Oreochromis niloticus: one gene and its partners. The protein of the gene in region 2 interacts with the protein of the main gene of each other region in a pairwise test. Links are inferred from orthologs where the notes say so. Each region holds a gene or a part of one and is shown on either strand. Other genes may lie near its edges.

Evidence for each region. The genes of interacting proteins can lie anywhere in the genome.
Region 1: the proteins of nab2 (region 2) and tchp interact in binary tests that used the Homo sapiens proteins (3 or more experiments, as listed by UniProt). The two-hybrid records come from large-scale screens. The link is inferred for Oreochromis niloticus from reciprocal best matches to the Homo sapiens genes NAB2 and TCHP.
Region 3: the proteins of nab2 (region 2) and phospho2 interact in binary tests that used the Homo sapiens proteins (3 or more experiments, as listed by UniProt). The two-hybrid records come from large-scale screens. The link is inferred for Oreochromis niloticus from reciprocal best matches to the Homo sapiens genes NAB2 and PHOSPHO2.

The regions. Positions count from the first base shown.
Region 1 is NC_031977.2:18,098,165-18,108,167, reverse strand, and holds the start of tchp (trichoplein keratin filament-binding protein), read right to left. Parts: upstream 4,045-10,003; 5' UTR 3,910-4,044; exon of another isoform or gene 3,843-3,909; intron 3,211-3,842; exon of another isoform or gene 3,064-3,210; intron 2,699-3,063; 5' UTR 2,695-2,698; coding exon 2,504-2,694; intron 1,392-2,503; coding exon 1,181-1,391; intron 1,093-1,180; coding exon 1,036-1,092; intron 685-1,035; coding exon 616-684; intron 274-615; coding exon 100-273; intron 5-99; coding exon 1-4. Other genes in the region: gltpa (glycolipid transfer protein), read left to right, coding at 4,542-4,644, 6,790-6,848, 6,937-7,070, 7,612-7,762, 7,864-8,046. UniProt on the Homo sapiens protein: Tumor suppressor which has the ability to inhibit cell growth and be pro-apoptotic during cell stress. Inhibits cell growth in bladder and prostate cancer cells by a down-regulation of HSPB1 by inhibiting its phosphorylation.
Region 2 is NC_031970.2:24,800,017-24,810,327, reverse strand, and holds the start of nab2 (NGFI-A-binding protein 2), read left to right. Parts: upstream 1-5,178; 5' UTR 5,179-6,106; intron 6,107-6,299; 5' UTR 6,300-6,404; intron 6,405-6,632; exon of another isoform or gene 6,633-6,669; 5' UTR 6,670-6,680; coding exon 6,681-7,592; intron 7,593-7,737; coding exon 7,738-7,871; intron 7,872-8,616; coding exon 8,617-8,668; intron 8,669-8,750; coding exon 8,751-8,865; intron 8,866-9,025; coding exon 9,026-9,223; intron 9,224-10,311. Other genes in the region: dnajc14 (dnaJ homolog subfamily C member 14), read right to left, coding at 1-281, 1,276-1,378, 1,561-1,721, 1,860-1,979, 2,222-2,328, 2,435-3,601. UniProt on the Homo sapiens protein: Acts as a transcriptional repressor for zinc finger transcription factors EGR1 and EGR2. Isoform 2 lacks repression ability.
Region 3 is NC_031965.2:35,617,148-35,627,747, forward strand, and holds the start of phospho2 (pyridoxal phosphate phosphatase PHOSPHO2), read right to left. Parts: upstream 4,045-10,600; 5' UTR 3,805-4,044; intron 3,291-3,804; 5' UTR 3,284-3,290; coding exon 3,213-3,283; intron 2,959-3,212; coding exon 2,864-2,958; intron 2,783-2,863; coding exon 2,217-2,782; 3' UTR 1-2,216. Other genes in the region: syap1 (synapse-associated protein 1), read left to right, coding at 4,277-4,478, 4,724-4,842, 6,131-6,197, 6,814-6,887, 7,024-7,163, 7,313-7,464, 8,863-8,912, 9,018-9,174 and 1 more. UniProt on the Homo sapiens protein: Phosphatase that has high activity toward pyridoxal 5'-phosphate (PLP).

The DNA of each region.
Region 1 (10,003 bases), on a different chromosome or scaffold from region 2:
TGGCCTGAAAGAGAAAAATAAAAAATAATCTTGTTTACAAAAAAAAGTCTGCAAAGGTGGTTTTGCACAGAAGAAATAGTTTGCTGATGCTCTGAATACCTCTTCTTCTCTCAGCTTCAGTTCTTCCATCTGCTTGCGTAGCTCCTCCCCTCTCTTACGCTCCTCCTCTTTCCTTTTCTCCTCCACTTGTTTGATCCTCTCCAGAGCTTCTCTTCTGGTCCTCTCGTACTCGTTTTCAAAGCGTCTCGTCTCCTCCTGGTACGCCACTTCTTTCTGCATGTTTGACAAGCTGGGTCACTTACAGTAAGTGTCAAAGCTTTCTTAATTATGCACCACCTTTGAGGGGCTGACCAGAGTAGTTTGCGGCCGTGATACTGTGCTCACAGAGTACACGAGCACTGTTCAATTAAAAATAGATGCGTTACATAAAAACTTGGCCACATAAAAAGATAATGACATGTTTAATGACTCGTGGGTCATTTGTGTCAATACTGGTCTGAGAAGGGCTATACTATGAAGTACTGAAGCAACTTCTTCAATACTGGCTATCAAAGTTATTAAAACACTGAAATGAACAGAATTGACTTTGTCTGGTGGCTGGAATGATCCACCTACCTGTTTCTTCTCAGATATCTGCTCCTGCCATTGGCTGACAACGTGATCTTTATGTAATGCTGACTCCAGCTGCAGACAGATTGAAAGAGTGAGTTGTGACAAAGCTGAGACAGAGATACTGATGACCTTGACCCTAGGTGGAAGGGATACCAGAACATTTCTTTTTCTTAAGTCAACACTGGAATCAGGTTAACAGAAAGTCATGGAATATCTGCATCACAGGCCATATAGGTTTCCAGATCAAATGGATGTCTTGACAAAAAGTGTCTGTTTCCTCTACTTGGTGAACCTTCTAGACGTATGGCGTGGTCACTAGATTCCTGAAGCCGTCAAACACTTCATCAGTGGTCACACATCAAGGTCTGAGGTATGGGGCTCGGCAACTTGTCACATTTGCATCAATAGTTTAAACTTGCCTACCCTTCTCAGCTCTTGGTTGTTTCTCTTCCAGTGCTCCCTCAACAGCTCCTGTGCAAGCTAGGCATGACAAAAAAACCAAAAGGGGATTACAAACTTACATGGCACAACACTGTGGTCAATATTTATGGGGCAATGTTCCACCAACTTTTTTTCTTCTCTCTTCTCTTGCCGTGCGAAGCTCTTCACTTTTTTGCACCAACTGACTTGCCAACGTGCTCCTGTCGGGCACCATCTCTCGGAGCTCTGCCTCCAGCTGGTTTTGCTCCTCTTGCAGCATTGCCCTGAGTCGATTCCTGCGCTGCTCCAAGTGGGCTTTTTCTTCTTCCTTCAGTCTGTCTTTATGGTATGCTGACATACTGAAAACAAGAAGAAGAAAAATACTTGGGTAAAAAAAATAAATAAATACTAGTCAAATGATGACAAAGAGCAACACAATAACTATAATAACATAAAGCTCTTTATCTATTTTTTTAACTAATTTATACAGACAAACAAATATGACATACATATATATGTATTGTTACACAGATTTAAAGGAAGATACACTATGGTATACCCACAGTACAACAAACAACTGAACACTACTTCTCTTAGCATACCAGCATATTCTAATAATCCAAAGGAATTCATGAAAACATTTATTTATTGTAATTCCAGTATTTATGGTATTTCCAGGATGATCCTGGCTTCACAAGATTGGATTCCTGTAGGTTTTAGATTTTAAATTTTCCTGATCACCTTTAAAGTGTTGCGGTCTGGCCGTGAGTCTGCTCCCAGACTGAGATGAGTCCATTCCGGCTGTTGTAAAATCGAGACTTCAACATAAAGGTTAGCCTAGTTTTGCCATAGGCTACTCGAAATCTTTGATTCACTTCTGAAAACTATTTTTTAAGGATGTGCTTTTAGGTGATTCTACTGCATCTGATGTAATAAGAAGACCTTTTTTTCTGGTCATCATCCCTTAGTTGTCTTGCTTATGTTCTGGCTCCAGTCTTTCATTTATACATGATGACAATATAGATAATATAATATTATAGTAACTATCTGGTTAGCATTCCATTCAGATCCAATCATAAAATGTGCTTGGCCATACCTATGGTGTCCCCTCATGGGAAAAATACTCTCTTCATGCTTTCTATTAGACTCTGTGTGTTACCTAAATGAATAATAAAAAAGGTAGGGAGTAGTGTCAAGTACTATCACTTTTTTCACAACACAGAACTTATATATGACATGACGTGATTACTTACAGAGCCATCTCTGAGGGCAATAAAGGAGAAACAGGATGATAATGCTGGAGTACGTTATGGCAATCATGTAAAATTAATGACAAGAAAATGTAAGGAGGCAACAAAAATAAAATCACTAAATATAAAGCAATGTGTAGTTATTTAGTTGGATTGCTTCAATATTTGTGTAACGTTTCGGAGACCGTGTGAGTGAGAGCATCTATGCTGGAGGAAGTTACCTCTGCTGGTAGGATTGACGGGAGCTCCACACCGTCTGTTTCTGGCTGCGGATGCTCTGCTCTCTGAAGTACTGAGCATGCAGCTCCCACTGCTGCCGCCACCGGGCCTCCTGCTCCCGCTGCCGGGCCAGCTGGTCGGCCAGGACCCGAGATCGACTGGGCACACGGGTCGAAAGTGTCGGCAGAGCCATGAACCTGAACAGTTAACACAAATGAAAGCTTGATATTAAATTTGTTAAAAATAACAGTGCAGACATAGTTTCATTAGGGCATGTAGCCAGTCAATATGGACGAATGTAGACATCACAAGTCAAAGGTCTCTTAGCCCCATCATATATTCACTGATACTGCTTTTTAAAGTAATTAGTTACTTAACAAATATTGATGCCGAAGACAGCTCAATATCTTCATTGTTATACGTGCTCTACCCATAAAACATTTATAATTTCATGGCCGTAAAGAATAAAGAAAACAATAAGAACAAAAGACTACCAGCTCTAACTACCCATCAGCACTCGGATAAAAGGAGCGTTTAGCTACAACGATAGCAGCCACTTTACCTCTCGGTGGTACCTCGGTTTGCCTCCCCTTGGCTTTTAATTAAAAAAACAATCGACGTTTTGCTTTCACGCACAGAAAGCTTAAATTTACTCACTTCAATACTACAGCTTTCCTTAGTTACCGATACATACACTTCCTAGTTACTCACACGCTACGGGATGAAGTGAAGGTCAAATTTAGTTTGTGGCGGAAAACGCGAAAGGCATAGTTGGAAGTTTGTTTCCGCCACTGAATTTTCTTTGTCTTTGTCGTCATTAAGTCATGATTTTATGTGATTATCTCTTGGGTCAGTGTGTTGAAATGTTGTAACTTTCCTTTAAATTTTCAGTTAGATATGTCGAAATTTCGACACATCTATCTGATACTACCACTACTATTACTACTACTGATATTAATAATATTAATATTAATTAGAACTTATATGAAACTAATAATTAACAATAAGAACGAGCAAACCTACTCTGTAAACTAAACTACATTTAACACAAAATGTTTAAACTAAAAATTACTAAAATGAAATAAACTAAGTAAAATCCAAAACTGTTAAGTTCATGTGTGATACTATTTTGTCTGTCTTTTACAGTAAGATATTACATAGCTATTATATGCTTGCACGAATGCTGGGATAACTATAACTAACGAAATAATACAAAACAGATAAACAGATAAATTAGGTGGAACCAAAGAGCGATATTCCACCAGACTCCGTTAGTTGGCAGCAAAGGAGCATATGTGATTAAACGCAGAGGAAGACCAGTGTCAGCTGATGGAGCACATCAGGTGCTGTTTACTCTGGACTTGTTTCTTCTGTCTGGCAGAAGTGTGCCGTTTATCCGGCCTCTTACCCCGGCAGGTGGCGATGGCCCGGATCTATCACTAACAGGTCGATCACATGAGCTCCTCTGCAGCCAGGAGTTCAGTGTAGGTGACTTCCATGTGAGTGTGTGTGTGTGTGTGTGTGTGTGTGTGTGTGTGTGTGTGTGTGTGTGTGTGTAAGAGAGAGAGGGAGAGGCTTCTCTGTGTGTGAGAGAGATATTTCTGTGTGTGTGTGTGTGTGTGTGTGTGTGTGTGTGTAAGAGAGAGAGAGGGAGAGGCTTCTCTGTGTGTGAGAGAGATATTTCTGTGTGTGTGTGTGTGTGTGTGTGTGTGTGTGTGTGTGTAAGAGAGAGAGAAGGAGAGGCTTCTCTGTGTGTGAGAGAGATATTTCTGTGTGTGTGTGTGTGTGAGAGAGAGAGAGAGAGAGAGAGAGAGAGAGAGGGAGAAAGATGTTTCTCTTTCTCGCTCACTCTGTGTATGTGTGTGTGTGTGTGTGTGTGTGAGAGAGAGAGAGATGTTTCTCTCTCTCTCTCTCTCTCTCTCTCTCACTCTCTCTCTGTGTGTGTGTGTTCTCCTCCTCCTATCACTGTGAAGCTGCAGTGGAGGACTGACAGCCTGTTGCTATCATTTCAACAGTTAGGAGTGTATCCGGACTAAAGAGATGGCTCTGCTAATGGAGCACCAGTTCAGACAGCTGCCAGCTGACAGACAGGTGGAAACAAGACCGTTTCTGGAAGCTGTGTCATACCTTCCACCATTCTTTGGTAAGTGGAGTTTCCACAGTGTGACACAGGGGAGACTGCGTTAATGGGACTGCAAATGAAGTGGTGAATTTTAAAAAATAGATGACAACAGGGAAAATGTATAGTTGTGGTGGTTTTTATGATTAACCTCAGGCTTCCAGATTAATGCCACTGACTGATCATGCTTTATACGTCCACGACTGTTAAACTGGTCCAGTAGGTACAAAAATGTGCAGTTTACGTTAAAATTACCACCCATGCAATGGACATTTTTTTCCACTGTGGTGAATCTTTATTTGGAATTTGTCTGATTATTAAACACTGAACTTGTAGTGATGATAAATCTGTCACAACACTTCCATCTCGTTTAACAAAACGATGTTGCTCTTCCTAATGATAATCTTTTCTGGATCGTGTTTCTCTCCACCAACCTGTCCACAATCCTTTAGCATGCATAATTTACTCCACTGGCCTGGATTTTAAGTTGTGAAAATTGATTAGTACGGTGTTGAGTTCCCCTTGCCCATTCACCGGTGCCGCGGTGCGCCAGGGCATCTTTGTGCGGCTTCATTCTCTATTAATATGCCAAAGTCCCTCCATTGAATTTGCCACGTGAAACCCTTGAGATGAACCAAGTCTGATGTCGATATTAAGCTCTTTCCTCCTTGTCACCATTATTCTTCCTGACCCAGAAATTTTTGAGCCAACTTTCCTACAGGCCATTACCATCCCGCACACTCATAGTACATTCACACAGGTGTCTGAAACTCTCTTGCCTAATTAGTGCCCTAATAGACTTCACTCCACTGGCACGTTCACTCTCCTGTTAGTCTCGTTTCACCACACCAGTGTATTTTATTTTTATTTATATCTAAATAGAGACTTGCTATTTAACCTGTAGTAGTAAAAGTTAGTAGTAAAATGTCATCATGGCTTTGCCTCAAATCATTCTGATTCAATTCAATTAGTAAGTTTTACTTTATGTGTGTTATTAGTAATAAATAATTAGTATTTTTCAGAAGTCCAATATTTAATACAAAAACCTTTTCCCCGTGGAGTGTATGGAAATTAAAGGGATCTGAAACATTAAATGATGCCATTAGTGTTGTGGTGATGCATTACACTGCATTGCACAATAGAAAAGGCTTAGTCATGGGTAGTTTCCACTAACAGCTCAAGGGCTAAAGGCTGTCTGTTGTGTTAGCAGGTCAGCCATGGGCCATGTGAGGTCCACACTCGAGATGTCTTGTTGTTCATTATTACTATTCACTCAGCATCGCCTAATTAACAGATACCAAATGATAACACTGTGATGTGTCTGTTACTCGCTCTCCAACAGCAGATTTTAAACAGCTTAGCAGATTTTTGTCACCGCAGACATTTTGACCTGTCACTGGTGGGAAAACAAAGAAAAAACACTTTCTTAACGACTGTTCAGTAAACAATCCTGCACTTCATTTATTTATAATCATAGTTGTAGAGTAAATGCTAACCTGTCACCCTACAACATACCTGCCGTGCAGCACTGATGCAGGGTGTGGTCAGAGATTACACAGGCTTAAAACTTTTAACCAGGGGGTGCAAAAAAACACTGGCACTTTGCACATGCTTTTTCCAACATTTTACTAAAGCTATATCATTATTCACGAGGGGTCGCCACAGCACATAGCTCTATTTATTTGATTTGGTAGTTTTCAGTTTTAAAAAAAAAACAGATGCCTGATGCAACTCCAAAGGGATTTGTGTCTGCTTTCAGAAACAAATCAGGGGCGAATGTGTAAACCACTTTCAAAGACATTACTATTCAACAGTCTACAAATATGGACAGGTAAAATAGCAAACATGGGATTAAGGGTTACCATTGTATCATGAAAGACAACTATAATTAAAAAACTTGTCATCTGTTAACAGCAAGTTGCTAAAGGGGTTGTGAGATTGTTCATAAGGCCCCACAGATGATGCTGTGCATTCAAACCAGAGTTTAAGTCAAGTTTAATACAGATTCAAATTTAGCTTTTGTGTTAATTAGTAGGAGATGTTGATTACCTCCAAAGAGAATGTTCATCATCTCATATGAGCTCAGTGGTTTTTGTTCACATGTGTGGGGGAAATAAGTTTTGACTTCTTTAATTGCGAGTCACAGCCTGTGTAAATATTCCTCCTCAGACTGCCTCGGCTCTACTATTTTCGCACCGATCAAGGCTGACCTATCGGGTAACATCACAGTAAGTATGGCAATGAGGTAAATCTGACCCTTGACTTCTACATTGCTAATGGATAAGAAAATGATACAATAACTTTTTTATTTAACAGAAAATCAAGTCAATTTATGATAGCAACCCCGGGCGGTTCAAGACTCTCCAGCAGATTTTGGAGGCAGAAAAGGAGATGCACGGAGGAGAATGGCCCAAAGTTGGAGCAACTTTGGCACTTATGTGGCTAAAAAGGTGTGAGAAATTCTACATTTTAGACCAGGGGTGTCAAACATAAGGCCCAGGGGCCAGAATCAGCCCAGCAAAGACTCTAAGTAGGCCCGGTGGACGATTTTCTAAAACATGAAGGAGGGCATATATTTTAAACCTTTAACTATATTTTAAAATGTAGTTTTAAAAATACTTTTAACTATCAATTTGACATCTTTTCCTGCTGATAAAGAATCCCCAACAGCCATTCATACCACGTCAAAATAGTTCATCGTTTGTCTGGGCAGAGTGCTAGCAGAACTTTTTCTGTAATTTTACACATTTTTCATTATAAAAACTGAGATTTTCTGTTGAAACGACACTTCTTCATCTTTTATTAAGATATCTTAGGGACTGACTGTGTAGTTAAAAGTCTTTACATTGACAGAAAGTGGAGTCCGACCCACTTAATGTGGCCGTTGATGTAAAATGAGTTTGAGATCCCTGTTTTAGACTGTTGTGCTGCACTTGCTTTGTCAAGCTGAGAAAAGTCCTTAATCACTGTGCATGTCTTCTTGTCCAAAAGGGGTCTAAAATTCATCCAAGTTTTCCTTCAGAGCCTGGTGGACGGTGAAAAGGACGAGAACAATCCAAACCTTATCCGAGTCAATGTCACCAAAGCCTATGAAATAGCACTTAAAAGATATCACGGCTGGTTTGTGCAACAACTGTTCAAGGTGCATCCAAAGTATCTGCAAATATTTTTTTATACAATAAATGTGTTATAAGCTCATTAGACGCGTAGGCTTGTGAGTAAAATCTGTGCTCGTTCTTATAGGCGGCTCTTTTTGCTGCTCCGTATAAGTCCGATTTCCTGAGAGCCCTCTCCAAGGGTCGGGATGTCAAGGAAGAGGACTGCTTGGAAAAAATCAGAAAATTTCTCATCAACTTCTCTGCAACTATTGATGCTATATATGACATGTACAATAAGATGAATGCCGATCTAGACTACACAGTGTGAATGCAGGACTTCCCTGCGTTTTCCTCAGTGGGAGTGATGTAACCATTAAGTTGCTTATGTTCAGTAGCTCTGCAGTCCACATGTTTAAAAGACAGCTCACTGTGACAGAGCATAATATTCACTTCTGGCTTTGCTGGTGAATCTTTTCCTCAATCTTGTTTGATTCTGGGGCGAGAAATCCAAATATAGCTATACAGTACATGTTTTAACATAACAATTACATTTCTTTACTCTGTGTTTGAACATTCATGTTGCATTCAGGTTTTAAATTATTGTTGGGTATTTATATCTATTCTTATCAGTACTCAGTACACAGAAATGTGTTAAAATTATACCAGGAATCAAAGTTAACTTAACCAGACAGGACCAAGACGTTAATGTGTGAGATGTCTGATGCTGACATATTTAATCAGCCTGTAACAAGTCATCACAAAATATAAGATTAATTATGAATTAGAAAGTTTCTAATCACAAGGAGGAAACAATATAAATTGGGAAACTGTTTAATTTTGCCATTATAATGGGACTGTCATAGTGTCATGCTACCTTTAAGCAATATCTCTCTAACACAGGGCTCTATGGTAGTGACACTGAAGTGAATACAGAGAGAGGAGAATCCATATGTTTCATCTTATCCACCAAACACTGTATTGTATAGCTGTCTGTGATTGGAGTTAAAGTTAATCATTATGTGCACTACAACCAGCAATCACTATCATACTTCCAGTATTTAGGGCTCCTCTCTCTATTCCTGCTCTATATGAACATTCTCTATTGCACACACCTGTTTGTGCCTTAAGCTGAAGGTACGGCTCATTTAAGATTGTTTTTATTGTTTTATACGTCCGTCACTATTGAAGGCACAGTCTGCCTAACATATACTTAGCTGCTATGCTAAGTTGTGCTGTCTTTCTAAAGTGGTGCCTCATCAGTGCTTCTCATTCTAAAGGTGCTTTTTACCCTTTAAGCATCATTTTAAAAAGGTTTTTCATTGCAGTTTTTGACATCTCTAAAGGACTAATTTCAAGTAAATGTCAAATGATTGATGAGTGTGGTGTGTCTTCTTGCATTATGTTGCAGTGTGTGTACTGTACAAGAAAACGAATATTGTACTTTAATATTATGTATTAAAAATGACAATCCGTGTGATTATCCTTTAATTTGTTCCCTATTATTGTGTAATTAATGTGTGTAATTAATGTGTAATTAATGTGTATTGTTCAACCCCAATTTCTTTATATTTTGCTTCTAAGAAGCCAGACTTTCTTGTCATTTTTTAAAGGAGGTCTTGAGCCATAGTTCTCCAGGCTTTCTGAAGGTCTTTAAAAGTTTCTCTTTAATCATTGGCTGAATTTTCACTCATTGTCAGTCCAACCCTTGCACCTTATCACTGTCACGGGAATGCTTTTTGTTTGCTTAACCACTTAACACTGACCTATGACCTATTCATGCAGAAAAAAAGACCCGACACAAGGGATGAGCCAGTGTTGTCGCTCCACATAAGAAACAACTTGGGAAAGAAACTATCTTAAATTCTATCTTTAGGAAATTGTCTACTACCAGCCTGTCACAAAACATATAATTTCTCCCTATTTCTTTAGCTGAATTGCTGAAAAATGCCAACGCTAACACAGTTTGATAGGCATGAAATAGTATTTTTGCACCAATAAGGTGATCTCAGTGGACAGGTGGCAGTCAAATAGGCATTCTTAAGGAAGAGAAACAGAGAGCCAAAATTACACAAGAACTGGACTGAAAATCAGTGGCAACAGGTCTTGTGGAGTGACGAATCTAAATGTGAAATTTTTAGTTTCAGAATCAAGTTACTTGGATTTTTGAACATGGATGAGGATACAGGAAAGCTCGGCTTTCCAGGTTATGTTTAAGAAAAAGATGGCCATACCAAATGCTGACTTTCAAGCTCATTAGAATTTTATAAACTCAGTTTTTGCTTTAT
Region 2 (10,311 bases):
AGGGTTTGCGGACCTTCTTCCTCCTCCTGGGGGGTTTGCCACTTTCAGCCCATGTCTCGCTGGACTCGGGCCGGTGACCTCCCGGCATGTAAAAACCTGTCTGACTTGGAGGAGGGGAGAAGGGAGGCGCTCCAGCACCAGGTGGGTGATGAGGCGAACCTGAGTGGAAGAAGCTTCCATTGGCAGCCATGTCACTAGGAGGTCCTCCCTTAAAGATTCGGTTGAAGAAGTCCTGCAAATCAGCTGGGTTGGTCGGACCTGCCGCGTGCTCCGACGGTGTCCTGAAAGATAAGATGGAAATTTAAGTTTGTCAAGTGAAATAATGTTATTGCGTGGAGAGGAAACTTTTTGACTTTAATTGAAATGAATAGTACAGCTTTCTTTATTGTAAACGTTGTTATTTCAGCAATACACAAGGGGGAGCTCCTCCTCCTGCCATGCATGTAAAATACACACACACAGATGACAGACTGAGAAAGAAATAAAAAGAACAAATATCAAACATGTTTACATTAATCTAATTTAAGCAAAGTCAGACATTTTAAAGCTTATTTATTTTAATTTCTTCTCTAGTGCCAAAAGGTTTGCATTTTCCCCTCTCTGCACATTTAAAAGGAAAACTCTCCAGTCTGCTGCTGGCAAAGGGCAGATGTTTAAAAACAAGCGGGATAAACCTGAGCCTTTGTGTGGTTTGTTTGTTTAGATCGCACTCAGGTGCAGACCAAAGCAACCACACAAAGACACTTTGGAGGTGGTGGTGTCAGTACAGTTCCAAATGAACTCCAGATCAGCTCGTTTATGTTGTGAACATGATCCGAGCTCGAGCCAAACCAACGACCAGGTGTGCGTTGCAAGTTTGAGCCATGCATGCTTTAAATTCTTGAGCGTGACAAAGTACTATTGACAAGAAAAGGTCTGCACGGGCCAGCAACTAGCTGTGAAATGAACTTTCCAATAGTCCAGAACACAGCATCATCTTCCTGTATTTACTTTTGTTGCTCCCACTTCAGTCACATCTGGCCAATAAGTGGAGTAAACATTGTCATGTGGTTTGTAGGGATGCATTTCGGTTGCTTGGATTTTTCTCCATGTTGCGTGAAAACAAACAAAATCACAGGGAAAAGTTAAAAACTCATCAACTGATGCAGACCACTTAATGAGTTTGTAACTATAGGTGTGAAAACGCCCCTAAGTGTGATGGAGAGGGATCAAACTGTTTGTTTTGCTTCATAAATATTAGATACTGTATCCAAACGTTCACCCAGAGGGATGTACCTGTGTCGTGTGGCATTGCTGTTGTTCTTTGAACCAAAGGAGATGTGATACGGGACCCGGTGTGTATCAGGAGAAATTCCAATTCTCTGGCAACCTGCCCACTCTGAAACGAGATAGTATCATAAAAGGTCACATGACTGAGAGTAAAATGTTCAGCAAGAAAAACCCGTAGCTTTCAGTAGCCTGTCGAAGTATCAACAAAGATCGCTGGTAAATGCAAACTCTGAGATGCACTAGTGGTTTGTTACTAACGAGCCGGCCAGGTAAACAACAGCTGATGCTCACCTGTAATATCATACACCTTGCCATCCATACAGGCAAAGTATGTGATGCGTAGGCCCAGCATGCTCGATTCAGCCCACAGGTCCCCTTCCTCGGCGCTATGGTAACGGTTGCATTCAGCACAGAACCGGGCCTCAGCGGGTTCACGATCCATCTCGAAGCGCCTTCACACACACACAGGAAACAAAGAAAACACACATGTGCTGAAAGCCTGCAACACAAGATTAGCTACAATTTTTTTTAGAATCTTTTGATTTCATGTGCAGCTGTGTGAAGGTGATGCTGGATGTGTAACACCATACTTGTGTTTGCCTTCACACTTGGTACACATCATAGTATTCATGGCTTCCTTCAGGTCATCCTGCAGTTTAGTGAGAAACTCGTTCATGGACTTTGAGAGCTCAGTTGCTGCCATGCGCTTCCTGCGTGAGAACGAGTAAGACAAGTTGTTGATCAGAGATAATGAGTGAAATGTCAAACTTGCTAAATAACTGCACTTGAGTGAGGTTTGTTTGTTTTACCAATAAGAACTAAAAGAAATAACTAAAAAAAATCACTGCATTAAAATAATTGACAAGACGATTTAAAATACAATAAATAATTGTGATTAAAATATTTCTTTCTTTTGTGGTTTTATTGTTGATTTTTTTCCCCGTGCACTTACAACTCATACTCTCGTCGTGTCTCTGGATTACTGACAATATCCCAGGCAGCTCTGAGCACTTTGAACGCCTCTCCAGCTCGTGGGTGTTTATTCTTGTCTGGATGGACCTGAAAGAGAACGGATAGAGGAAAAGGTTGCATGAGTAAAGAATCAAAACTAGTCATTACAGCAGGCATGTAATAGTAAAAATTGAAGTATTTCTGATTCTCACACCTGGACAGCCAGCTGTCTGTAAGCCTTCTTCAGCTCAGTGTCAGTGGCATGCACCTCAACACCGAGAACTGTAAAGGGATCGAGCTCATCCTCTGGTACCTCAACCAGTGCCAGCAGTCTCTCCAACTCCTGGCCTGGTTGAGCTCTTCCTGCTCTGCCAGGTGACCCCGGTGCGGATGGCGGTACATGACCATCCCTCCTGAATAGGCTTCGGGCTTTCTCCAGCAAGGACACTATCCTCTTCCAAACGCGTGACTCCTGAAAAGCCGTCCAATAGTGCTTCCCCCTATCCCCACCAATACGAAGGAAAACCCCCTTGGCCCACTGCGATCCCAGAATAACCAAAGCACAGAAAAATGTGAAACAAGATAAGGCAACTGTCTTTATCCACTTTACTGACCTAACAGTTTTATCCACCACACAAGCTCCTTTGCACTTTGCCCACTTCAGAATCCGGATCGCATCTGCCTTCATTCCAGGAACATCAGTGACCTTCACAAGGAGCTGCTGCCCAAGGTTGTAAAGTTTTACAACTCCAGTCTCCACTCCAACTCCACAGTTGTGAGTTAAAGTGACAATAATCTCAATCATCATGTGGATGCAAGAGATGCACCAGAAGCTCAGAGACTCTGACAGCATCTCCTTGAACGCTAAGATGAGCTGGTTTCCTGTCCTCCGCCGGCCCCGGTTCTGCTGATAGTGGTGGTGGTTACGTCTGCGGGTCTGCTTGTGCCGACCGCCACTTGACATAACATTTCCTCTCTGAATCTGCTCTAAAACTGACCCACCGCTCCTCAGTTTGCACTTCCTTCCACTTCCCATGTTCCTCCAACCAGACTCCCCATTCATGTGCTGCTCCTTTGCTGCATCATCCTCTTCTTGGTTTATAACCTGTGAGTTCTCATTTTCTGTAGTCTTGTCATGCTCAAACTCTTCTGAAACCTCCTCAATATCATCTTTGGCCTCTGCTTCACCAGCCCCAAGGTCTTGTAGAGTGGCTGGGTTTGGAGTTTCCTGAGATCTGAGATAGGCTGTTTTGTCCTCCTGCTCGCACTCATCCTCAACCTCACACTGACTTGAACTGGTCACTGAGGCCGAAACACCATCAGGGATCTCCTCGTCAGTGTCCACAACATCCATCTCTTTCTTAGCAGCTTCTCTTTCCATGTTCCTTACAGCAATTTGACTGAAACGCTGTAAAATCTGACTTTCATTAAAGAGTCCCTAAATCCATAATTTGAGGCCACATTTTCCCCAGGCTCTCATAAAAAAGCGAGACTGGGGGTTCGCACAGGTCAAGTTCAGGTCCACCACATCAGCAGCCACTTGTAGGTATCAAAAGGCTTTTGCACAACTCACATGATGCACTGGAGCTCCTGAAAAGCAAGAGATATGAATCAATCTCCAGGTTTTGATATCACAACAAGTCTGTGTCACCCTACTTAATATAAGTGAATCCTTGTTCCTGTTATTTTTGGCTTTCTGATTTCATATATAACCATAAACCATGTGCCTCTACCTCACACTATCCCTAGCGTCCCTAACATCCACTTTCCCTCCTCTGCACATCTCTACTTTGTCTCTCTAACTTTGTTTCCAAGTGATTTTTTTTTAAATGTATTGGGTTAAATGCAGGAAAAAACCTTAGACGTTCCAGACAACTGAAAAGTAAGAGGAGCATTACTTTAAGACAAATGCTTTGACACCAGAGCGCATAATAACTGCTAAACAATAAGTTTTAAAAGAAACAAAAGGGGGTAACTACAAATTTACAAGTTACGCAGTCAGTGAGCAATGTAGCTGCACGACTTCATCGGTACAACTGTATATGTATCAAGTAGTTACAAATACCCTCTTTGAAGCTACTTTTACGCGTATTTATGCAGATGTGAAAACAGACTACATGCAGTTACCCTGCTTTGTTGTTTGCTAATCCAGTTAGCCAAACAAGAACGCAGTGTGTCTAAAACCCGACCTTTAATAAACAACCTTTTAACTTTTCACAGTAAATAAAAAGGGTATAAAGAAGTCAGTTAGACCCTTAACATGTTAACTGTGTTCAAATCACCAGATGTTTTAAAAGGCGGATAATGTTAGCAGGCAGTCCTGGTGTTAGCATGAGGAAGCAGCCAAGCAGGATGACAGACAGGCGCTACGGGGGCTAAAATTAGCTTGCCTCTGGATAGTTAACCTGGCAACATTTCGACTAAATAAGGTCACAAACGAAGACACAACAGGCGACTGTTAATGCTTTTAGCGAGCCAGCAGTGAACTCTTAGCTACTAGCAGGACTAGCTGAAATATAAACGCCTGTTTCCCCTTCCTGTGTGGTTGGTTTGGCTACTAACGCCAAGACGTGTTTAAACACCGGGACGTCCAGTCCAACAAAGAAGGCAAATAAAATGCGTTTTGCATTAAAACAAATGAAATGTCATATATACCTCTCGGATAACTGTATAACCTTGTTTGTTAACAGACATCCAAGTGTCGGTGTTGTTTTGTTTTTTTTAAGCCACTTCTTCTTCTTCTGCGGCTCCTTTTCCCACTTTATTGCTACGTCCTCTTCCGCCTCCAGCTCCCTCTTCGCGGTTTGCGCGCGGTTAAAACACAACAGCGGGACTCTGCTGCCATCTAATGTTTTGGGAATAGCTGACCGTTAACGGCTAACTTTAGAAATGTGGGTTAAGAAACCCAGCAACCCTGTTTTTACCCGAGTCCTAACTTAGTTCATAGTAGCCTGCTAATCACACTCGGAGGAAAAAGGATAACACATTTTCCTTAATACTAAGATTTGCGTGTTAGAAGCCCACGCTTAATGACCACGATGTTTTGGTCTGGCTTATTTTTTTCAGACTCCATCTTATGCTCACAGTAAAAGGGTAGTTGGGTTGTTATTTGTAACATATGAATAAATCCCTTATTTCTAAAGTGCGTGGTGTAGATGTACCTAAAGGCCACTTAAAACTGCAAATGGATAGGCACACAATACATATCTTAGGCCATCACTGTGCAATAGAACAATCATATAAAATGTGGCAAACAAAAAGGATTGGAGATGCTGGTGTTGGACTTTGAGCTTCTTTCGAGATACTGTTAGTCAATTTAAAGTCTCGATTTGGTGACTTGGTCCTTTACTTTTTCAAACATAACAAAACAAAATACAATACTAGCATTTAAAAACTGCTGGAGCTTCACCCACTCTACCACCTCCTACATAAAATGGGGGGAAATAACAGAACTGGTCTTCAGTAAAAATTCACATCTGTCACGTCAGTTTATTCTTATCTATAGAGGTCTGTATAGTGTATAGCTGGCTGCTTGTTTTGGGAGTCTCTGACATAGTAAAACGGTGGGAACCCCCTAAAGCTTCTGCATAAAGGACTAATCTTGAAGACGCAGAGGGTTAATTTCAAGCCCCCACCACCACCACCCACATCTCCAATTTGAAAGCCGCCTCTCTACCGGGAGAGGAAGGCTCTTTTTCGGTCAGATGGCGTGCTGCAGTCCGCCCCCGTCATTCTCCAGCCCACACAGACAGCAAAAAGGCAGCCAGCAACCAATACGGTGCGCCGGAGGAGGATTTCTGCCAGTGATTTCAGACGAGGTAAGATACGCAAAGGGGATTTACTACGCCAATCTGCGCCGAGGAAGCTGTCGGCAATAGGTAAGACGGTAAGAAACGAATGGGATAATAACTGCGTTGTCTTTGGGTGCTCTCCTCTTAACATCTGGATAGTAAACAGTTGCCTCCAGTCGATGGCTTTATTTGAAATGGAGCCAATAAAACGAGTGTTTCCACTTTAGTGCAGTCTGAATGCGGTTCTGTCTGTGATCAGGAGATTTTAGTTTTTATTTCTTTTGTCAGTATTGCTCCGGCAGATCCGACCCGTGACATCGGTGGCTGGAGCGACACCCTTGCGTAATTACGCCGGTTTCCTCTTTACACATCTGTAAAGCTGACCTAAAGAAGGTAAGAAAAAAGCGATTTATGTATATTCAAAGGTTAAGTCATGAAAAATATAATGAGTAGATAGGAGCTTATTCTGCCCCAAGGGATGCTTAAACTTGCTTTTAACTGTTTATCAGTTTTTATTATTTCACTATATTTGTAATTTGTATTCTGTATATACTAGGTGTGGTCCAGATGCCAAAGTCTTTATCTAAATAATTAACTTGTACAGGATTTCTCCATCTGCAGGTTCATGTCTTTCCTTTCTCCTGCCTAAACTTTCCAGTGCTGTGTGCCATGTCTCTGCCACGCACACTTGGTGAGTTGCAGCTGTATCGGGTCCTCCAGAGGGCCAACCTGCTGGCCTACTATGAAACCTTTATCCAGCAGGGTGGTGACGATGTCCAGCAGCTCTGCGAGGCAGCGGAGGAGGAGTTCCTGGAGATCATGGCACTAGTTGGCATGGCCACCAAGCCACTGCATGTGCGTAGGCTGCAAAAGGCCCTCCGAGACTGGGCGGCGAACCCTGCCCTTTTCAGCCAGCCTGTTGCTAATGTTCCTCTCGGGGGCATCCCGCTCTTTAAAGTTGATGGCACTGGCACAAGTGGATCAGCTGGCGGGCCCAGAAAGTCTGTGAGTAATGGGCAGCCAGGATCCCCCTGTGAGAGAGAGGATCGGATGTGCCTTACACCAATGCACAGCGGGAGTCCAAGAAGCCCCTGTTCCCAGGCCTCTCCACAGCCCCCAGACACACACTACAGGGAAAAACTTTCTCCAATGGATCCACACTGGCTCAGCCCAGAGCATGATGGGAACTGCACTTTGGGTTCTGCACCTGGAACAGAAGAGGAGCCATCCAGCCCACCTCTGCTGTCAACATGTCCTCCCGGTCCTTCCACGTCTCCGAGCCCCTCTGCGTCTTTCACCCCGGCAGCTCCGTCTGCCTGGCCCGGAGGACAGCTGGATGGGGAGACAGCAAGGGCCGTGGTGGAGACTGTGGAGAGGCTCCTCACGACCCTGCCTAGGTCAGATCCTGCAGAGGTGAAGACTTTGCTGAGGATGAATAAGAAGATGGCAAAGACTGTGGGACACATCTTCAGAATGGGGTCCCAGGACGTGAACAAGGAAGAGGAGATCCGGAAATACAGTCTTATTTATGGGCGCTTCGACTCCAAGAGGAGGGAAGGCAAGCAGCTCACACATCATGAGGTAAAAGCATCAAAGTGAAGATGATGTTAATGCATCGCAATATGTTTTATACCTGATTAAAGCTGCACTTCATACCAGAGTGCAGCTTTTTATCAAATGTCAATCAGTGTCCATCCCTTCTGCAATCAGTGTTTTTCCTTCTCAGCTGATCATCAATGAAGCTGCAGCCCAGTTCTGCATGCGTGACAATGCCCTTTTGCTGAGACGGGTGGAGCTCTTTTCTCTGGCTCGGCAGGTGGCGAGAAAATGTGCCTACACCTCCACGCTAAAGCATGCAAGGTAAGAAGACGCCCGCAGAGAAGAGCAACACACCTCACGCCTGTTGTGTTTTAATGGAGCTTGTGTACCAAGAAAGAAAAAAAAAACTGTTAGAGAATCAGGGGTGTAGCTTGAAAGATCCATAAAGTCCAGATCATTCGCAGCCGTGAACACAATGCTTATTTCAGACTGAGGAGCATCACGTGAAAAAACTTGAATGAAATGATTTTATAGTTTGTGTTTAGCATGTTCAACAGGTGATTTATGTGAGTCATCAGCCAACCAGTGGATTCATTTCCAGAGTGAACCTGGTTCACGTCTCAGTGGGAATCAAACTCCGACCTGTACTGTTAGCTAAATGAGCCAACTTTTAAGCCGGTACAAGAGAACACAAATACTACGTGTATTTGTTAACCTGCACAGAACATTTACATATATTTCTCATGCGGGGCAAACAGAATGAGTCAGTGTACACAAACCATAACTAAACAGGAGTAGTTTTGTAATTATATTTCAGTTTTTCAGCATCATAATATATTATAATCGACTGTTGATGATTGAAAGATAGATACCAAGTTCACAGTCTGCTCATCTAACAATAGACACCTTTTACTTATACATAAAAATAAATTTTTTACTTACTCACAGTGAAAAAAATGCTTTGTCTTGATTTTGCAGTGATCGTTTATTAGCTATGGGTAGAATCCTCACCTCTGTGAGGGGTGAAACCATGTGCTTTTCACACTCATTTGCCCCCCAACTGCAGGACGAACGCGGACGAGAGCAGCCTTCTGCCCCAGAAGAGAGCGAGGCTCGAGGTGAGTGTCGGGTGCACTGGCAGTCATCTGAAGTGGTTCATCAGCACCGAACTGACAGTGTTGCTTGTGTGATGTATCTTAGGGAGTCGTGCCCGAGAGTGTGTCATCGCTCCTCGGAGTGGAGGGATCCGAGAGTTTGACTCAGAGGGCAGATGACGACAGCTTATCTGCAGAAAGCCTGGACAGTGTATCACATGGTAAAAACAGAAGAATCAGACTGATGTTAGAAAAAAGAATTAGAAAAGTAATAAAACCTGTTTGTTTTGGGGTTTTTTTTGTAACGATCTGTCAAAGTGTTTGTTTTTGTAAAAACTCTTTAAAGGCAGCATTAAAACCCAGATCTGTCTGTTCTGGTAGACATGGGCTCCCAGTGCAACCAGTCTCCATCTCCCCGTCCTCACACTGACACCTCCAACCCCGCCAGCTGGAGTCGCCACCTCATACAGCAAACGCTCATGGACGAAGGGCTAAGACTGGCTCGGATGGTGTCACATGACCGGGCGGGAAAGATCAGCCTAGGTTCAGACGGAGCTCACGCCACAGGTGACAATTCAAGTAATGACCTACAAGTATTATGTATTTGAAACTGCACAGAGAATAAAGGACATTTTGTGATATTTGCCCAGTTTTGTACCGGTTAAAGATGAGATTGACATTTTGAGTGACACATTTATTTACTTTCTTCGTTTTTTAAAATGAATCCACTCTCATGTGGCAAACGGGAAGGTACAGGTGCCAGTTAGCACATTCACCAATTAATTTGTTTTTGTCCTATTTGCTCATTTATATTCATCACAGAGAGGTGAGAGAGGCATCTACATGTTCCTCTAAGTATAAACCAAAACATTAAATTAAAACATAAATAAAATGCATTCTAAATTGCCAAACTCCTGCTTGATATTGTGAGTACACAGAGAATTTAAAAAAACAGAAGATGATGATGGTGGTGGGGTTGAATTGAAAATGACAGACAGAGACTCCCTAACCTCTCCTAACAATGAATATTTTATAGCTCTACAGTTTGAACTCTAGTGAGTCACAATCTCTCCGAGGTGCTGCCTCCCACCATGCGCATCTGAACTTCAGCAGACTGTAAATTAGAGAGGATAGAAGTTAGAAGGGGAAACAGGAGGAGGTGGAGAGCGATATATAGAGAGGAAAAGAGTCGGAGGGGGGAAGCTGGTTGGGGGGGCTGCTACACTGTTATAGCACTTCTTTTATACCCTGTTAGTGTAGCGTTTTTTCTGATGCATCACAGTTTCTCGCAGAAAAAGAAAAGAAGGAGGAAAAAAGAAGTGATCTGGGCAAGTTAGTCATTCTGGGCTGTGATAGCCAGCCGAAGAGATGAGGCGAGGAGGAGAAGGAAGCCAGTAAAGACATGAGGGGCGGGGAGGGAGGGGAGGGGAGTGGAGGGAGGGGGATAGGAAGTACTCTGTGGGCGGCAGAATCGGACCCCCCCCCCCCGACTCTCGGCAGCTACTGACGTCAGAGTGTGTTAGGTGCGTGGGCTGAAGGGCGGGATGGATGGGGCGTGGGGGCGAAGGAGTGGGAGGTAATTGGAGGGGCGTTGCATTGACTCACCAAGCGACAGTGTACAAAAATAAAAACCTGTGGGCAGGGAAATGGCACAGTCTTTTTTATAC
Region 3 (10,600 bases), on a different chromosome or scaffold from region 2:
GAGCAGCACAGCTCTATTAAATGCTAAATAACATTAAACAAGTACAATCCTTTAGGACCAGTTATAATAATGACTTCATCTGCATTTTCTAACACCCCAAACAAAGAATTGCAACTGTGGAAAAACTGTTGAAACGTATTAAATCTTTCTTAACCAGATATCAGCTGAGGTAAGTTCATGTAAAAATGTTACATTCAAAATGTTGACAAAAGCACCTTATTTAAAGTATGTATTAGTTACATCATAATGTCCCTTTTACAGATGTATTTTTAGTCAGTTTACACTAAAACAGACAACTTAATGCCATTTAGCAGTTTCAAGTTCCTGGTATTGTGCATGCTGTAACACTGTCTGGAACATTTGAATATAATACATCACAACGCCGTCAGTAACACCAGTGCTTTTCTTTTCATAAATCAAAATGCCTTACGCAGAATATAGCAGGTAAGAACTGTATAGTGTTTTTGTCAGGTTCATAACGAAAAAATAATAAAATAATAAAGTGTAAAAGACAACTAACATTTGTAAACTATAAAGTAAATGTAATTAAATGTAATATCCAGAACCCATTGTTTGTTCATTGGTTTGGACATATTAACATATATCCAGTCAGCCAGTTTCCCAAACACAGACCGAGTCTGGTCCTCACAAAATGAATAAAATTTAAAAAAGAAAGAAAAGAATCAGTGAAGGTCTCCACTGAGTAAAGAGTTTAATCACCAGGCTTAATTCAAGGTTGGGAAATTGAGTTAGCGTGTGTTTAGACCCACAAAACATGAGATTTTTTTTTATTGTTAGTTCAATACAAACAACAAACAGACTTGTGCAAAGGTATTGAGCCACCCCTCATTTCTTTATATTTTGCTTCCAAGGAGTCAGACTTCATTTTCATTTGATAATGTAGTGTTCAGTAATAGTTCTCCAGGCTTTCTAAAGATCTTCCAAAGCTTTTCCTTGGACACTGCTTTTTCACTTAGTTCAGTCCCTGTACCTGACCATTTTCAGAGGAACATTTTTGTTAGTTCTGCTACTTCACACTGACCTATCAATCATTCAAGCAATAAAAAAAACACCTAACTCAAGAGATGAGCAACCAGTGGTGTATCTACAGATAACAGATGATTTAGCAAAGAATGAATTTACGTTTGTTTTTCTTTTGGCACATTATTATTAGCAGCCTGCCACAAAAACACAAAGTTTGCTTCAGTAAAAACACCAAAGATGACAAAGTTTGACAGGCATAAATTTGTATTTTAGTACCAGTGAGCTGATTTCCAAAGTGCTTTTAGAAAAAACACTACAACAGTCAGTGTGTAAAACAGGACGCTCTTTCGTGGTTTGGGGAAAATAAAAAATAAAATAAATTAATATTAATTTAATAATAATTTTGAAAAGTAAAGGTCATACCGAATATTGACTTTTTATCTTTATAACTGTAGAAAAATGCTGTTTTTCTTATATATACTTAATTTCCACGCATGTTTCCACATGTTTCAATAAACTGCTGTACCTATTTTCTATCTTTCTGCCAAAATTGAAGAAATAAGGGGTGGTTTAATATTTTGACACAGTACTGTGGCTAGATATAGTGCAGACTGCATAAAGTAGATTGATTTAAGGTTTTCAGTTTAATAAAATGCCCTTAACTTGAACCTTTCAAGAAACCCTAGTCCAGAAACGTTTCAATGGAGACATCTTTTAATTTTTCTTGTAGTCTGGGACTAAAATTAATCCATGTCTCAAATCTGCTCAGAAATTTCCCTGACTTCTACTTTATCAGATCCAGTTAACTTGCTGGTTCATCTCTGCTTCTTGGATCAGTCCCAACAACTGAGATCTTGAATACTATACTAAATATAATCTTAACTGAATTCTTACCTAGTGTCCAACATACACTGCACATGTAAAAGCTGCCCTTGTGATGAACTCCCTACGTATTGTTAGTGATTTCAGGCGCCTCTAGTTTCAATCACCATAGAAAATGAGAAAAATTGTAAAGATCACAAAGATAAAAGATAAAGGTAAATTTCCCTGCAGACAAATTACCCTTTTTAAAAGACTGGTTTACGTGTGCAAATGCTGTCATTTTAAATAAGTTAAACATTTCGGAAATTGTTTTTTTAAATTTTGAATTATAATATGAAAAAAAAGAATACGGGCAGCATAATGCATCCTGCAGTGCAGGCTCAATATTTGTAATATTTCATGTGCCACGGCTACGACTGCATGCTTGCTTTCAGCTCCCGGAGAATGTCAGTGCCACTGCTCCAGGCAATGTTTTTAGCTCTTAGAGGAAAGTTGCCCTCCTGACCTTCCAGTTTGGCTAGCAGCTTCTCCAGAGTGTATCCCTTTCTTGGCATTACAACATCGCGGCCTCTCAGACGGGAAGTAGGGCAGAGATCATTCCCCCCATCCCCCGCATAAAAGATTTGCTCATACTCCACGCCAGCATCAGATTGCTCAGAAAGGTAAAGCTCCAGGACTTTTTTCTTGCAGAGGTTGACAGGGCATCGATTGCAGTCGTGAGAATGATAGCACTGCACCTCAATGTGGCCCAACTCATTGAGCTTAGCTGGGTTGGTAAAAACCTTGTCAACAGCTGCCTGGAGTCCTGCAGCATGAAGAATCCATTCTATAAACAAGGTGTTGGAATCAGAGATGACTATGCAGTCAATGACACTTTTATTCTCTGCTATAAATGTCAGCAAGTCAGTCATTCCAGCTGTAAAGGGGATAGTCTCCATCACACTGCGAACCCTGTCTGGGCTCACCTTCTGCTCTCCTGCGGGCATAGATTAAAAAATGTTGAGGGCAGATTTCAGGAAGTAGTAAAACAAAAACAAACAGCATGACAGACTCTCACCTATGTAGTTCATCACCCTGCCCATGTACTCAGTCCAGTAGCCTTTTCTGTACGAATTCTCCACAGAGCCAGGAAGTGTCTTATCAGGAAGACACCTGACAGAAGGAATAAATAAAGAAGATAAATCAGGATAAATCAGCCATAGTGTTTCTCTAATGGTGTATTGAGGTCCTGGTATAAAACAGTAATTACAGAGTAGTAGCGGGAGCAGTGCCACAGACATGAGGAACTGATATTATGCTCAAAGAATAGGAAAATCTTTGTCAAGATAATACATACAGATGGCAAGAAACTTGGGAAAAGTCATATATGCTATCTGAACAGCTGTAGTAAAACTTTCTTGACCTACCTGACCACCCAAGTGTCACTGTTGGCATCGACCACGGTGTGGTCAAAATCAAACACCATCAGAATTTTCATTTTTCACCTTAAAAGCAAAATAGCACAAAAACTAACTTTTTAAAATAAATTAAGCAAGATAATAGTTATTTTTAAGCTCCACCCTTCTATTATTTCGTTTGATAACGGATACTGTTTTCAAGCGGCCTATTTACGTCTTATCAGCTCAAAACACAAGTAACTGAGCCCACAGTTTCGCTTCTTAAGAATCACCCTTCCCATTAAAGCCGATTGTTACTTGACATCTCAAATAACATTTATTTAACAACATTTATTATTCTTTTCTCCATCAAGACTACGTTAAAACTAACCAACTTTTAAATGCCTTGTTTTTTAAAGGCAGTACGTGTAAACTCGTCCCCTTACAAGTATACATCCCACGGGTAGAGCTAGTCAGTCCGTTACAACGGTTCCTAACGTGCTGAAGACAAGCGACTGGGATTACATAGCTTTCTGTAATAAACTGTAGTAAACTATACCCAAGATAAATACACATAAAATACATAATAATAATGTAAAATGGTGAGCAACTGCAAAATTACCGGTACGAGTCCGTCACGAATTCACCGGTCTTCCTTCTCCTTATCTTGCTTTGCCGCAAAAAGTGGAACAAATCTCAGCTCATTACCGCCACCTGCAGCTTCTTTTGGATGTTGCGTTAAAACGTAGTAGTTCCTCTACTGCCCACAATGAGCACATAATTTATAAGACATACCATCTTTCTACTTTAGTAAAGGTGTAGATCTTTCAACGTGCAACACTTTTGTGATAGTTTTGACTGATAAATACTCTTTGTTTTATTAATATATTCCACCATAGCACTAACAACAACCCATCAAACCACACTTCCCATATTTGGCCTCCGGGTGGCAGTATCCCACAACTGCACATACGAGAACGCAGAAGAAGAAAACGTCAGTTTATTTCCTGGTTTCCTGGTTGTATAGTCAGGAGAGTCCGTGCAGATTGTTTTTCCGTATCTTTAATCTAATCGATCGGTGTTTTTCCACCAGCATGTTAAAAGGTTTAGGGACGTGGTTGGGTCTGGAGGGCCCGACCGTCACGAAGACGTCGGTTGACCAGGAAAAGCTGAACGTGGAGCAGGAAGAGAAGGTGGTAGAAGCACAAACCGAGGTAAACAAACAGCAGCCAGCTGACCGAGATGGAACACCAGAGGCGGAGCAGGAAAACTCGGAACAGTCCACTGGACTGGGCGGTGAGGAACAGCTAATTTCTGGATAATTAACTCTTAATTAATTCTAAGCTATGTGCTCAAAGTTACTCAGCGTGACGTAAGTCTTTCTATCTGTGTTGACCCTGAAGGCTTTCCTGTTCATCTTTTTTGTTTGTTCTTCACCCCGAGCAAGAGCAATGTGACTTCAGGAGTATCTGTTCCCTCATATATGTATCTTTTATTGCAGTGGTAATGATTTTATTAACGGACTCTTTCTGTATTTGAAGGTTACATCTTCAGTTTTGCTTCTAATGCCACCAAGAAAATTTCTGAGTCAATGGTGGAGACTGCCCAGACCATCAAGAAGACAGTGGAAGAAGGAAAAATTGATGGCATCATAGACAAGGTATTTTGCTCTCAAATTCTTTTTGACTGGTTTTGCATATTTTAAAAATGGCTTGGGGTTCATATGTGCATTTGTGAGTTCATAGGTCAGTTTTCTGTATTCGCTTACCCTAACTGGCACACAAAGCTGGTTATCAGTTCGCTAATTTAACCCAGGGTTTCTCCTAGAACTCTGAAACTTAAACTAGATCAATTTAAATGTTAAAGATTTATTAGTCTAATAAAGAAGACATTGAAATCACTTTGGTTTGTTGCAGGTCAAAGTAAAATTAACTTGATTGATTGAACAGGTATTCTTTATATGTGTTCTGTGTTCTGACAAACTGTGAACATAACCTGCTCCCAACATTTGGATTTTGGATTTTCTCAGCTGCAAACTCAGTGCTGTTTAAAGGTTTGAGAGTAAAGTTGTTGTTTTTTTATTCAAATATAGGCTTAGTCTACATACAAATTTGATAGGAGTTCAGCAAGTACAGTGTAGGTGTCCTATTTTAGGATCAGATATTAATACTTGTAGAACAATAAAGTTGTTGTAAAATTGTTTATTAAAAAATAATAGAATAAAGTTGTGTCTAGAAATCTATGTTATTTATTACCTAGGCTTATTAGGGAAACAAAGATGCTATAGACGCTATAAAAGAAAACTTTACACCCTCCTGTTTGTGCACAGAAGTTTGAGGGATCTTCCAAGAATAGTGACACTATTTTCTGGAGAATTGATTAATCAGTAGGCAGTGAGTTCATATCTGTTGATCTCTAGTCTGGATCTTAACTTGCTCCGGATGGCGATTTACCCCAAGTAAGACGTGAACCACCTTTATAGTACAGAAAACCCAGGGGTTAACCCTGAAGTTACCTGGATATTGTAGTATTATTAAGTAGTTATGCCTCTGGACTTCAGGGCTTTATTATCCACATAAACATACTGTCCTGTAAATAGGCTACACATTCTCTTGTTGTTTCTTGTTATTTTTTGGCAATTTTTGATCAATAAAAATAGCTTGAGTAGATTAAACATTACCAAAAAAAAGGTTTTCAAAGTATTTTTAAGTCTAAAAATGTTGAAGTCTAAAATTTGTAACAAAGTTGCCAGATTTTTTTATATGCAAGTAAAATCCTGGATTTTATCATGACTTTTTCAGTACTTTTTGCTTTGTTAACACTTTCTATTTATGTATCCACTTTTCCAATCTATTTATGTGTGTGTGTGTGTGTGTGTGTGTGTGTGTGTGTGTGTGTGTGTGCGTGCGTGCGTGTGTGCGCGCGCGTGCATGCGTGCGTGTTTCTAGACGTTTTTAGGAGACTTCCAAAAAGAGCAAGAGAAATTTGTCCAGGAGAAGAAGGCCAAGAAATCAGGTAAACCAGACTTTAAAGCATGAATGTTATTTAGTAATGACCTCTACAGTCACCAAATCTTAATCTGATAAAACACCTTTGGGATTACAGTGACAAATCTGCAACATCTGCTGTGTGATGCTATCATGAAATCACATCGCTGCACGATATTTCCACAATTTTATTGAATCTGAGCAATGAAGAATTAAACTGGTGCTACAAGGTGAATGAAGTGTAGTCATAACGTTTTCCAAAGGCAATTATTGAACCACTATGAAAATAAACATATCAATCAAAAAGTTCAGCTATTAATTTCTGAAAGTGTAACTTGCACTTTGAAAGTGATACACTTGGTTTAAAATGGGAGTCTTGTGAGACCTGACTGGGATAAACTGTGTAATCTTCAGCTTTACATTGCACCTGTGAGGGGCAGCAGAAATGATGATATCATGATTTTATCAGCATATGTCACATACTGGCCAAGCAGCTTCTATTTACAGAGAACCAGGTGTGTACATGTGTGCATCTGAGAGATAAGGATTGGAACTGATGACTGATGGTACATGACTGTGTGTGTGTGTGTGTGTGTGTGTGTGTGTGTGTGTGTGTGTGTGTGTGTGCACGCATGTTTGTGTAGAAGCAGCAGTGCCACCATGGGTCGGCTACAATGAAGAGGAAACAATCCAGCAACAAATTCTCGCTCTGTCCGCTGTAAGAAAAGGCATCATGCACAATATGCAGTATGAATGTATGAATGGGTAGCTATTTTTGTGGCTGCTGTCTTACTTATTTAAATTTATAAATCATGCTTTGAGTAGAAACTGAGCTATTTGGTTGCTGATTCTAGGACAAGAGGAACTTCCTCCGCGACCCTCCCGCTGGTGTTCAGTTCCATTTCGACATGGAGCAGATGTATCCTTTAGCTGCAGTCATGCTGGAAGAAGATGAGCTCCTCAACCGCATGCGCTTTGACCTGGTTCCTAAACAGTCAGTGCTCTTGAAACATTTATGTGTGTGTGTTTATGTGTATTTAAGTGTGTGTCTATGCAAATGTACCTGTTTTTGCCTCCATTTATAGCAGAGTCAATCTAAAACTGATATTTAAAAATGGATGGTGACATGTTTGTGTTTGACAGTGTGAAGGAGGAGATGTTTTGGCGGAACTATTTCTACCGGGTGTCTCTGATCAAGCAGTCGGCTCAGCTCACAGCCCTGGCAGCCCAGCAGCAGCGGAAGGATAGTGTGGACAAAGGGGCCAGTGTTTCACCTGAAGACGTCGTCCTAACAGGTCTGAATTTTTAGCTCTGCAAGAGAGGTAGAGACCACCAAGCAAACTTTGTGGTATCCCAGCTGCAGGAAGGCAGGGCAGATTTACAACCTCAATTCAACAGTGGAAAAATTAAATGTAGTGTCTTTATAAAAGTGGTTTATACAGTCAAAGACCTTCACAGTCCTGCAGGCATCTAAACACCATGTAAGAAAGAAAGCGGTACAGCTCTCTTAAAGTTACAAAGGTATCAGTTTAAAATGTAAAAGCAGAAACTGTGAAAGGAGCTGAAAGCTATATTTATTTTGCTCTCTAGGAAACGTTGGCTTCCCTCTGCCAGATGGTCTGAGAATTCAAGAGGACTAAAGATTACTCGCTCAGATCTTTTGTGGTCTAGAGCCACAGAGAGCTTTATATCCAAACAGCACTACTTTAAATTGTTCTTTGACACACTGGAATCGATGGCAGAAATTGCTGCCATGTGTTCTTTTCTTGGGCTTTATTGATACTCTGGTAACAGCATTCGGAATAAAAGGAAGGTGTCTGTTTGATGTGAAGTCATAATGAAGGAAATGGAAAAACCCAATCCTCTTAATGCATCGCTGAAAACTCTTTTCCTCCCTCATTTAAATGGGCACATACAGTGTTTGTAAAGACTGATGTGGAATTTATTGTCCTTGTCTGTTTGAGTAGCTCATTGGCTGCAGAGAGAGAGAGAGAGATTGTAAGAATTCAGCAAACACAAAGGCTTTCAGAGGCGCTGAGGGTAGTTGTCCAAAAAGCCAAGAACAAGTTGCCCAATAGTGATGGTTTATGTAGATAGAATGCTGATTGGTTGATAAGCTAAAGGAACCAGGAAAAAAATGATCACCAGGAAGAAGTATGTCATGTAATGTAGGTTTTCTCTCTAAGCTTAAGGATCAACACTGGTGGAAACATAAAGAGCAGCCCACATTACCAGTTGTTCCACATATTTTTAACACTACCCCCACATCACAACACTTTGCTACAATGTACAAAATTGAGCTAAGTACTGTGTTAGTGCTGTTTGGGAATCTCTGTGTAGCACCTGTGGACTTCCAACACAATATCTGAATATGTGATTCAATTATTTTATTTAGGGAAAGAAATCTGTCTTTTTTAATTATTCAACATAAACATGAAAAACATAATTTGTTTTGTATTTTCTGCTTGGGTGAACTGGGAAACAAATTAGATATTTTATTTAAGGACTCAACGGTAAAGAAGTCATATTATGTAGTGTTATAGAGCTATCTAAATGGATCAGGCGGCATCCATGGTAAAAGCGATTATAAGAAGGTTTGTGGTCAGATTTTGATAAATGACCTCAGACACCGTCCAAAGGTCAGAGGTTAAAGAGTAAGTCCATTGTAATAACAATGTGTTATTTCTTTGTAGACAATGTCAGACCAAAAACGCCACCAGTTTCCATCAGTGACATACAGAAGGTAAAAGCACTACACACGTTGAACTTTCCCAACCACCTTTCAAGAAGTTAAGAAAAAAAATCAAGAGTCGCTTTCCTCTTTCTCTGCTGCCTGTTTTCCTCCTAGCCAACACATGAAGAAGAGGAGGAGATTTCAACAAGTCCGGGAGTGTCTGAGTTTGTTAGCGATGCTTTTGACTCAACGGCCATAAACCAGGAGGACCTGAGGAAAGAGATGGAGCAGCTGGTGCTGGACAAGAAGGACAGTCCTCCTTCTCCTGATGGTTGGCTTTGGAAGAGTTCCTATGCTTTTTTTTTTAAGCTCGACGTATTTCTTGTTCTGTAAGAGAATGGCTTTGCTTATAATACTTCCTCCCTTTTATATCCAGATGAATCAGCAGATTGGGAAAAGGAGCTGCAGCAAGAACTTCAGGAGTATGAGGTGGTGACTGAGTCGGACAACAAAGATGACCAGTGGGATCAAGAGATCGAGAAGATGCTCCAGTCTGATGACAGCTAGTGTGTTTGATGTGTTTACAGTCACTTATCTGGGCTGAAATTAATGAATCGTGACCAGTGATGCACGAGGGGAGGAACTTTACACAACTCCCATTTCTATCTCGTATCTGATGAAGTGTCGTAGATCCAATTATAGCAAGAATGTGTCAACTCTGCTTGAGGCAGCAGTCATTTTCTGGCATATTAGTGAGTTCATTGCTCCCTCCTAAATGAGTTTTCTCTATTTGGTTCTCCCAATCAGCTGTCTTTTTGATGAGAAATATCATTAGATGATACTCCAGTACAAGTACTATGAATTTTATAATGGAGGGAAATGGTCTTTATTATCTTTTGTTTGTTTGTTTGTTTTTTAATCTTTGTTTTCACTGCTGTTTCCTGGTGGGTTGGACAGTCGTGTATATGTCTTGCTATAATCTTAGTACAGAGAAGTCAAATGTAAAGTAACATGTATGTAAATAAAGAAGATTGTAACACTAAACTGCCGGGTGCATTTCTCTCTAATTATATCTGCCTGTGCGTTTCATTCTGTTTTATATGTTAGCCTTTAATAAAAAATGTGTCTGTTATGGATAATTATGCCTCAGGTTCAAGGTGGACACAAAGTCAAGGAAAGCTCATTGAAAACCTTCTTTTAGCAACTTTTAAACTATGCTACAAATCTTTTAAATCAGCTCTAGCATGCTACACAATGTTATTCTACCTTAAAATATTTATGACGTTACTATTTTTTTTTTAATTTTTATGTTTTGTGACTGTCTGCACAGTCGGAGGCATGTTTGGTGACTTTCAGTGAGGATTTAGTGCCTCCTCGCCCAGATCGAGCACTGGTGACAGTTTTCAGTGTCAGGTAATGGATTCTGTTACGTCCCCACATGAAGGCTAGGCGAAGAGGGTGGGGGACAGTAACAGTTGGATCCGGGTTGAAATGAAAAGGACGCCAGGCAGCGGTGTTTAACACAAAATAAATCTTTATTATAATTAATATAATAATTAAATATATAAATAGAATTGGCCGCTTCAACTAAGAAAACAACTATAAGGCTTCAACAGAAAAAGACAGCAACGCTGCTATTAGCAATAACCAGGCAGGCCAAACCAAGAAATGGAGGCCGCCATCACTTAAGCAAAACCACTGCCCAGTTGAGCTCACAACAAGCCACGCACAGTGGGGCTGGTCACACACACAGCAGG